Linked DNA regions of Schizosaccharomyces pombe. Changing the gene in region 1 together with any one later gene gives a genetic interaction. Each region holds a gene or a part of one and is shown in the gene's direction. Other genes may lie near its edges. The genes, in order: mkt1 and sir2.

Region 1 (5,763 bases):
TACTCAAACTTTCAAATGACTTTTATTCAAAAAATTTTAAAATTCTACCAAATATTTGTAGGACAGAGAAAGAAAAAAAAAATATATATGATTGTAGGTAAATCCTTAATTTAAAGAGGTTAAGTGCGTTCTAGTATCTGTATTTTCAAATAGTAAACATAAGTAACATGTGACCTGTTTAATTTAGCATTAAAATGGAAAAAGTATAGAGCAATTAGGGTGCCTTGTAAATAAAAAAATTGCAATTCAATCTATAATTTTTTTATTAGTATCATTTTGCTTATTTTTTGAGTCCGTACGAAAGTTACGTTTTGCCTTCCCAAATTGCCGCAATGGTAAATTTTCCGCGCACAATTTAATCAAGGCTATTATCACTGAAAAAATCTCAACTGCAAGAATTCTTTTTCCTTCGGCCAACACTTGCTACGCAAATTGAATTGCCATTTGAGGCAGATTTTTTTGTTTAAATTCGAAGAAAAAATCCCAATATTAAGTCATGTCTGAGAAACAAACTATCAAAGCCCTTCCTGCACACAATCCTACTCAGGTGAAAAAACTTGGTCCCGTTAGTGGATTTTTGTCAGGTGGTCTTGCAGCTTGTGGTGCTGTAACACTGACAAATCCTTTCGAAGTTATTAAAACGCGTTTTCAACTTCAAGGTCAATTGACAAAATTGGATCCTTCTAAGCGAATTTACAAAAGCGTCGGTCAGGCATTTTCTCTAATCGCTAGACATGAAGGTATAAGAGGTCTTCAACGAGGCCTTGGTACTGCTTATGTTTATCAAATCTGCCTCAATGGCTGTCGTCTCGGGTTTTACGAACCGATTCGACGTACTCTGAATACGTGGTTCCTTGATGATCCCAAGGGTAATAAATTAGCTATTAACGTTGCAAGTGGCGCCGGTTCAGGTTTATGTGGTGCCTTGTTTGGCTCTCCCTTTTTCTTGGTTAAGACTCGCATGCAGTCGTATTCTCCTAAATTTCCCGTTGGCCAGCAGTATGGTTACAAGCATATATTTAATGCATTCAGTCGTATTATTAAGGAAAATGGTGTTAAGGGTTTGTTTGTTGGTGCTGATGCTGCCATTCTCCGTACTGTCTCTGGTTCCTCTGTTCAGCTTCCTATCTATAATTGGGCTAAACGCATGATTGAGCATTACAATCTATTGGAAGAGGGTATGATCAAACACTTAACTGCTAGTGCTGTTTCTGGATTTGGTGTATGCTGCACCATGCAAATTTTCGATACTGTTATGACTCGTATGTACAACCAAAAGAACAAGGAGCTTTATAAAAATCCGATTGATTGCATCCTTAAAACAATCCGCTCTGAAGGATTCTTTGCCTTATATAAGGGTTTTGGTGCTCACTTGGCCAGAATCGCTCCTCACACAATTTTCTGTCTTACCTTCGTGGAGCAAACCAATAAACTCTTTTTGAAATTCCAAAAGGATTAAGTTGTTTTTTCAAACGCACGTTTCTTTATTTATAAATAATTTTGGTACTAAACCATAAAAACCCCCAGTGGCTTTGGTGTATATCAAGTGAACAGTTAAATTGTAAAGAAATGATGTTTGTATCTAAGAACGATTTTTATTTACATTCGTTGTCTCGTTACTTATTTCCACTCTACTTTCATTTAAAAGTCGATTTTTCTTTTCAAGCTGTTTTTGATCAATCGGCATGTTTTTGTCTTTTGTAATATATATCCGTCAGTTATCTCAATATATGTACGTATTTGTTTTTGGATTTCAGGCATCTGGCTGCGTTTGTATATCAACTTACCTTTTATTTAGTTATTAATATACTTATTTTCTCTATAATTAAAGATTGGAAACATTACCGCTTTGTGTAGTCACAATGGATAAATTTCTTCATTTTGCGTCGTTTTTATTTGAAATCTTTACATTTCGCCAACAGTTATATGTTTTTTAGATAAATCATGTTAGTTTAATAAAATATTTTCTGAACTTCTTATCGTAGTATTCGTGTTCACTAATTTGCTCGTTCCTGCTGACTCTAATAAACGGATCGGACACCTCTATTCAGTACAACATAATAAAATCTGAATATATCCGTTACATATAAAAATAATCTGTTTGTTTTTAAGGATCTATTAAAGGTTTAGTAAAAAAAAACCGCCTTACGGTTTAAACTGCTGTTTGGTAAATTCAGTTAAAAAAAAGAAAAAAAATGACAAGTAAGTTAAAATACCTTGCTACTCATCTGCTAATTTTTTAGTTCGTTCATTGAATTTGTTTATCATAGACAAAAAGCATCAACATAAATCTAGCTTGAGCAGTTTTCAAAACTGTAAGTTGGGTATTGACGCAAGTTTTTACTTGACTCAAATTATTCATTCCTTTACCCCACAGGAACTTCAAAGTTTGGCAGTAAATGGTGAATCCGAATATCTACAACACAGAATTTCGGAATTCCTTGAGCAGTTGAGAACTGAGAATATCACACCCATTTTTGTTTTCAATGGTATACCTCTTACCTTTGAAGCCAGCAGCCAGCTGGAAGTGCCGGGAAAGCAAAAAAGTCATAGTGCATTGACAGATTTCGAAGCTTTTGATCCTTATGATGCAAATATTCAGCGTAATATGTACCGCATGGACGCAAGTGGTCCTGCGAATTACGGCGAAAGTAAACCAACACTTTTGTACACCAATCAGCGAGATCATTTAGATCGTCTTTGCGACCAGGTAAAGTTTTACTTAGATCAATGTAATGTGGAGTATTTTGTCGCCCCGTATCTGGCTATGGCTCAATTAGCATATTTTCTAAACGGCACATCTTCACCTTACATCGATGCCATCTATGGTTCCACGGATCTGCTTCTTTTTGGTGTTAAAAAATTTATTACTTCTATGAACACATCTTCTAACGTTAAAATCTCATCTGACCCTTCATCCCCATCAACTCAAACAACTATCAATTCGGCCGCTAAAAGTTCATTCACATGGTTAGATGGAAATGCCCTTCTTCAAGACACGAACGGCCTTTCATGGCAGCAGTTCATCGATTCCTGTTTATTGTGTGGTACTGCTATTTCTCCTACATTTCCTCAGATTGAGGGTACTTTTCTAATTAAAAGCGCAATGGAGCTTGTTCGTATGTTTGGTTCTGCGTATCGTGCAGTCCTTCATTTTGCTGAAATCTTTCCCCAGCCCATTTTTCAAGATTATCTTCAACAGTACAAAAGGGCTGTTTGTTTCTCTAAGTTTGGAATTGTGATGGATACAAAAGGTCTCACTTTACCACCAGTTCCCACAGAATCTGTTCCTAACGACATAAATATATATTTTGGCACCCGTCTTCCCAACGAGATTTATTTTTACATTTCTCGCGGTCTTATTCCTTGCAAAATGATAGGTGCTTTAGTATCTGGATGTTTTAGTGATCCTGTTTCCATACTTGAACAACATATTGGTGACAAAGCATCACAAGGAACATTTTCTGGTGCTAATTCTGGTTTAAATCCTGGTCGCGACAATGCAGCAGCTGTAGCGGCTGTGGATCAACGGCGATTTGTTGACGATTTAGAAGAAATATGGTCGCAGGGGCTAAATTTATTGACCCAACCGCTTAACAGATTTTACCAAGCCAGAGATATTGTTTCCCTTCATGGCCATAATCAGCAAGCTTCTTTGAAGGTAATGCACAGCTATGATCCTCCTTTGTATAATGATACGAGAGCATGGATGATATACGAAGAAAACTTACCGAGTTATTTATCTAGTAATTTTTTAAAGGAAGAACCCGTTGTATTATTTGATCTACTACGTGCTTTGAACGATCCGGTATTTGTAAAGAAAAGCTTTTGCACTGAAGGTAATATTGGCATAAAAAACCCTCCCAAGCATCCTCTGTCTTCTACTGCGGAAATCGTCTTAAGTTCTTGCTACAGATTTTTGCAAATTAGATCTTTCGTTTTAACATCTCATCAATTAACATCTTGGGGATGCCCCTTGTTAAAAGCGTTGGAAAATTGTCACTTACAGAACCAAACTTCCGTTGTTGTTTTATTCGAGCTTCTTAGACTAAGACAATTAAAAGAGCCCTCTTTACTTTCCTCCTCAAGTGCAAGCATCGCCGATTTATCCATAACTTCTGCCACAGAGTTCTTGGCAAAGGTTGCAACATTTCTACCAATAAAACAGAGACCTGAAGTTAGTAAAATTTCTATAGTTGATGAGAATTTATTACAGTTTTATCAGCTACAAACTAGCTTCGGATCCAACTTGAAGGAACTCATGGCCATGATTCTTGCCTCGGTCATCTTGAACAGAAACGTCGACAAAAGCAAAATAGATCCTAAACTTATCCGAAAAACGTACGTGTTTTTTTCTCTTTCTCCTTTTTTGTTTATATTTAAAGTTTCTAACCAATTTAGCTTACCTTTTCAAAACATAAATGGTAGCCTTGTCTCAGGTTTTGTTGTCAAGCGCTTTTTTGAAATCATTTCAAAAGAGCAAGAAGCCAGTTCTCAACAGGAAAACATCCAGAAGGCTTATGAAATAATAGAAAAGGAATTCCCAACCATTGGATCTGCGGAAAACCATATTGCCCAGTTTTTGGAATTCTGGAAAACTTTTATGGAAGGGGTTAAGGAAGCAGAAAATACAAGTGCCATTGGCAAGCTCGTTTTAAGTAAACTCTTCCTTACTAACCAATGGATATTTTCTCTTGGCTTATGAAGACCAGAACTAGTAGTTTATGAATAGAAATAAATTAGTGAGAGAAGTATCCTTCTTTTAGCGGGAGCTTTTAACACATTCGGCACAGTCATAATGCACATTTACATGAATTACTTTCCCTCATACTGTCGAAGCATTTTCAACATGCTATACACTCATGTGATTACACTTGATTATTGTTGAGATATTATTTCGAACAAGTAAAGTATTGTTAATATTAATATTCAACTACATTGTTTCTTCCCGAAAAAAGGAAGGGAAAGAAAAATAGAGAAGCACAGCTTTGAATGAAAACCCAATGATGTTTAAACTTTTTTATAGATATAGTTTAATTTGTTCTAAAGGATACTATATTTATTTTTAGCAATACACTTACCTGTCAAAAAATAACTTATACCGTTGTTTTTACACTATAGTATGGGAATAATTTTTAACTTATTTGATAAGTTCAAGCGGATTTTTTAGATTTTAGTTTATGTGTACTGGCTCACTCACAAAAAACCGAATTCGCATCAGAAACATAATTTTACCTAATCAATTTCACGAATTAAAAACCTTGTGCTTACAGAAAGACTTGCTTAGTTTAACCACTTACAAGCTGGATAGTATAATTTTGTTTTAAGATATTTACTGTATAGATGCTGTTTACGACAACTTGCTAGCTTTGAGAATCTCCAATTCTCACACTAACATCTAATAATATTTGTCGATAGTTAACAAAATTCTGACAATGTCAGTTTTTAAATATAAACGGTAGTAGTTGAAGTAACTGACAGTTAATCAAAATCTCTGTAACTTATTGTTTACATTGCATATTGCGAGACTTGACACACTATTTAGAAAGTCTTAAGCAAGCGTAAGCCATTACTGTGGAGTTCATTAAGCTTAACTTTAATGAACTGCTATTAGTGTAGTCTCATTTTGTAAGGCGTAGCACAATGTCCCGTGTGGTTCAGCAAGCTACCATCAAATAATAGTTTGATTTTCCATTTGGTGTGAATCTAGCAACAACCAACATTATTTGTTCAGATGCACTTATGAAGTCTAGTGGTATCGCA
Region 2 (4,904 bases), on another chromosome or scaffold:
GGAGAAGGTTCTCAGTAAACAAGTAATTGGTCAAAATGAAGCAGTTACTGCAGTTGCAAACGCCATTCGCTTATCTCGTGCTGGTCTTTCTGATCCTAATCAACCAATCGCATCTTTCTTGTTTTGCGGTCCTTCCGGTACTGGTAAGACTTTATTGACAAAGGCATTGGCATCATTTATGTTTGATGATGAAAATGCAATGATTCGTATTGACATGTCTGAATACATGGAAAAACACTCTGTTTCACGTCTCATTGGAGCACCACCCGGTTATGTTGGACATGAAGCTGGTGGACAGCTTACTGAACAACTTCGTCGACGACCTTACTCCGTCATCTTGTTTGACGAGATTGAAAAGGCTGCTCCAGAAGTATTGACTGTACTTTTGCAGGTACTAGATGATGGACGTATCACTAGTGGCCAAGGCCAGGTTGTTGATGCCAAGAATGCTGTTATCATTATGACTTCTAACTTGGGCGCTGAATACTTGACAACAGACAATGAGTCTGATGATGGAAAGATAGATAGTACCACTCGGGAAATGGTTATGAACTCGATTCGTGGCTTCTTCCGTCCCGAATTTTTGAATCGTATCTCTTCAATCGTTATCTTTAATCGTCTGCGTCGTGTGGATATCCGCAATATTGTCGAAAATCGTATATTAGAGGTTCAGAAACGGCTTCAATCCAATCATCGCTCAATTAAAATCGAGGTTAGCGACGAAGCTAAAGACCTTCTTGGAAGCGCTGGTTATTCCCCTGCTTATGGTGCAAGACCTTTGAACCGTGTCATTCAAAATCAAGTTTTGAATCCCATGGCTGTCTTAATTTTGAATGGCCAGCTTCGCGATAAGGAGACTGCTCATGTCGTAGTCCAAAATGGCAAGATATTTGTCAAACCAAATCATGAAGCTAATGCAAACGGCTCTGCTGATATTGACATGGATGGTATTGACGACGATGTTAATGATGAAGAATTGGAATAAATGTATTTCAAATGAGAAAGTTCTAACGATACTTTATGATATAGTTTAATGATATGCTTAATCTTAATATATTTTATTTATTTATAAAAATATAGTATATAAACTTTTTAGGAAGTACTGTTTTCTCATTAAAATGTTCAATGAACTTTATCGAATAGATAGAATCAATTTAACAAAAGCTAAGTACATCGTTTTTAGTTATTAGCAATTCAAGTATGATGAAACATTGAATCTTAAATTTATCAAATAATCCATTGTTATTTACGAAAAACCTCCATTTATTTTAGTAGGTATTAATTAATGCAGTCCATTCAAGAAAGTCGAGCTTGTAAGAAAGTGCTCGTAATTCCTTATAAAATCAAAGCAGAATTAGCTCTCATACTTTTAGTAGATTTTAAATTGAATTTACATGATTAACTTTAACATTTGGTAAATCACTATCATATCATTTCATTACTTTCTACACTTGCGCATTGCATACTAATACGCATTCCAGTTCTCATGGTTCAAAGCAACGTTTAAATTAACAAGTTGTATAGTTAAACTTATACAGTGCTTTGCTTCTAATAGCCATTATTACCAGGAAATAACGAGATCACAGTTGCCCGCATACCATTAAGCTAACGAAACTTTACTGCACTAAACAAGAGACTAGCTTTTCGTAATTGTAATAAGACTTATCGAAAAGTTGAACCAGAGATCTTCAGTTCAGTAGATCATTGCCTTTCTCAAACGAAGCTTTAATTTATACTTCCTTAAAAATAATTGATTAGTCATATTTTCATGTTATACAAACTCTGTCATGGCTTCCAATCCGCTAGATAATAATATGCCGACGACTCCCGTTGAGGAAAAAATTCCAGTCGCTAGTTATTCTCCTAGCTCTTCTGGTAGTAGTTCCGGTGCTAGTTTACTAGTAGATATTATGTGCGGCAGTAAAGAAACTGAGGATGAAGAGGTTGATTCTGATGAATGGGATAAACCAGGTATGAATATCAACTATTAACTCCAATACCTTCAAGGGTACGCGCAAGTCTATTTGAATTTACAAAATTTACAATTGATCAACGATTTTGAGTTCAGGTTAGCTATGTGCTTTTCATATACTTTAGTTTATTTTAATTATTTAAAAAGTTAACGATTCCTTAGAAACAGAAAACATAAGTGATTTGGATGAACGATCCGAAATGGTCAGATATTTAAGGGCTTCAGGTAAGGAGTTACTTAATTTACATTTTAACTAGTATTTGTAGGCTATGCGAAATTCTTGGAGAAATATTTAATAGAAGAAGAGTTGCCTGTACGATCGATTTTAAAAAAACTTGGAATCAATTTGGTATGCTTACTGATTTATAACTTGCATTACATTAAATTAGCAGATTATTTTTGTTAAATTGCAATAATAATTTGGTCTACTGCATGTTTTGTTTTCTTATGACTTTACCTAGATTTATTAACGTAAATAGCCTAGTGCACTTGAAGAGTTTGAAGACATAGAGTATGCTTTTCTTTAACTTCCTTCTTATCTTTTTATCTTTTATTTTTTAAAATATCTGCTATCGATATACTAACGTGCTAATTAGTTTACTTCCTTTGCTGAAGGAAGTTTTAAAACGTGAGGTTGCTAGGAGAATCAAACTTCCACATTTTAATACCTTTGAAGATGTTGTTAATTTATTGAAAAAAGCTAAAAATGTTGTCGTCCTTGTTGGGGCAGGCATAAGTACAAGTTTGGGAATTTTAGATTTCCGTTCAGACAATGGTTTTTATGCCCGTTTGGCACGCCATGGATTATCGGAACCTTCTGAAATGTTTGATATCCATACGTTTAGAGAAAATCCAGAAATTTTTTATACTTTTGCTAGAGATCTTTTGCCGGAGACGAATCATTATTCCCCCTCGCATGCCTTCATTAGATTGCTTGAAAAGAAGAATAAATTATCAACATTGTTTACCCAAAATATAGACAATTTGGAAAAAAAGACTGGACTCTCCGATAACAAAATTATTCAATGTCATGGTAAGTATTTATTTTCCGATTTGCATCTCGAGCACTGGTGATTTTGTCTAATTTGATTATATAGGGTCTTTTGCTACCGCAACTTGTATCAAATGCAAGCACAAGGTGGATGGATCGGAGTTATATGAAGACATAAGAAATCAAAGAGTTTCTTACTGCAATGAATGCGGAAAACCACCCTTAAAATTAAGAAGAGTCGGTCAAAATAAAAAAGAGAAACATTATTTTTCAGATGGTGATAGTGAATCTTCTGAAGATGATCTAGCTCAACCTGGGATTATGAAACCTGATATCACATTTTTTGGGGAAGCCTTACCGGATTCTTTCTTTAACAAAGTCGGGAGTGGTGAGCTTGAAGAGACTGATTTATTAATTTGTATTGGAACTTCTTTAAAAGTGGCTCCTGTTTCAGAACTCATCAGTGTTATTCCTCCTACTACTCCTCAGATTTACATTTCGAGGACTCCTGTTCGTCATACCCAATTCGATGTAAATTTTCTAAGTCCTTATTGTGATTGGGTTATTGTGGAGATTTGTAAACGTGCTGGATGGCTGAATGAATTACAAGCGCTTTGCGATTTACCTGAGTGTCATAGTGGTTCCAAAACGCGAGCTTTCGAAACGGATTTGGATATAAAATTTGAGGAGCCCAGCACCTATCATATCACGAGCACAACAAACGGTAGTTGTTAATTTTAGGACTGATCGATCTATCGAAGTTGAATGTAGAAGCAAATATATTATATACATATATCGAGTATGAGAGCCAGATTATTGGACATTAACTTATTATCCGTTTGAGACTTCTTAGTTTTGTAAGTGCCATTGTTAAAAACTGTTTTTTCTCTTCGCACCTAATGTTTAAATCTGCTAAACTGGGTGAAAACACATTAAAACAAGTTATAATACATTTTACAATACCAAGGACTGTGTAATTAGTAAATGAACATTGAAGCAAATTACATTCATAGGCTATGCAAAATTAGCTACTTTTTTAAGCATAGTAAATCAGTGAAAATGACACAATTATTATTTAAAATTGAAAGATTGATTGGTACATATCAATACAACCAATGAAGCATCTAATTGTACGATACTAAAGAGAAACAACTGAAAACGGACAATTAGAAATTGGTCAACGATATTGACACTCAAACTCAAAAGAAGAAAACAGATTTAATGAAGAATATAAAATGCACGGATCATCGAAAAAGCCACCAAATCAAGCCCATTTACCTAACAAAGCCATAACTCCAGTACCAGCCATCGAGCATGCCAAAAGGTAAATAAGCTTATACCAGTTACGTTCTCTTTCAGGACTAAATAAGAAATCGTGTGCAAGTAATTCCACTAAACCAGCATAAACCAAAATTCCAGATGAGATAGCATCCAAAACACCTTGGGCAGCATAAGACCCATGAGCAAGAGGATCCCAATGCTCACGAACACCTAAACCAGCTGCCATACCAATAGGCGTAACCAACGAATAGATAACGCCCAACACCCAAGGTACCCATGCAGTTTTTGGGCCCCAGGCCATTCCCGCCAAACGAGAACCTAAACCACAACCTTCAAAGGCCTGATGGAAAATAATGACGGGAAATAAAGTTTTAAATTCTTCACCTGAGACGGCAGTTGTAAGACCGATAATAACACTATGCAAAATGATACTAGATTCAAGAATTATAAAGGCAGTAAGTTGTTGCTTTAGTAAGAAACTACGAGCTTCTTCTTTAGTAGTCAAATCGGTACTATCAGTATTCGTATAAGGTTCTAGTTTTACTTCTTCCAAGTCATCCTTTACACATTCATGCTCAACACCATCGGCACATTCTTCAATATCATAAACTGGATGTTCATGAACACCGTGAGCACCGTCTTCGTGACTATGACTGTGTT

What was found.
Region 2: of mkt1 (region 1) and sir2, changing one enhances a phenotype caused by changing the other (phenotypic enhancement), as found in Schizosaccharomyces pombe (one study listed by BioGRID).

What each region holds. Positions count from the first base shown.
Region 1 is NC_003424.3:1,015,308-1,021,070, reverse strand, and holds mkt1 (post-transcriptional RNA stability regulator Mkt1), read left to right. Parts: upstream 1-2,017; 5' UTR 2,018-2,195; coding exon 2,196-2,202; exon of another isoform or gene 2,203-2,243; coding exon 2,244-4,341; intron 4,342-4,401; coding exon 4,402-4,705; 3' UTR 4,706-4,968; downstream 4,969-5,763. Other genes in the region: oac1 (anion transporter), read left to right, coding at 497-1,459; dnf1 (P-type ATPase), read left to right, coding at 5,743-5,763.
Region 2 is NC_003423.3:3,608,440-3,613,343, reverse strand, and holds sir2 (histone deacetylase, Sirtuin family, NAD-dependent Sir2), read left to right. Parts: upstream 1-1,657; 5' UTR 1,658-1,787; coding exon 1,788-1,971; exon of another isoform or gene 1,972-2,134; coding exon 2,135-2,197; exon of another isoform or gene 2,198-2,234; intron 2,235-2,238; coding exon 2,239-2,321; intron 2,322-2,451; coding exon 2,452-2,483; exon of another isoform or gene 2,484-2,568; coding exon 2,569-3,005; exon of another isoform or gene 3,006-3,069; coding exon 3,070-3,698; 3' UTR 3,699-4,127; downstream 4,128-4,904. Other genes in the region: heat shock protein Hsp104, read left to right, coding at 1-985; plasma membrane ZIP zinc transmembrane transporter Zrt1, read right to left, coding at 4,228-4,904. UniProt on the Schizosaccharomyces pombe protein: Involved in silencing within the mating-type region, at the telomeres, and according to PubMed:12867036 also within centromeric DNA regions.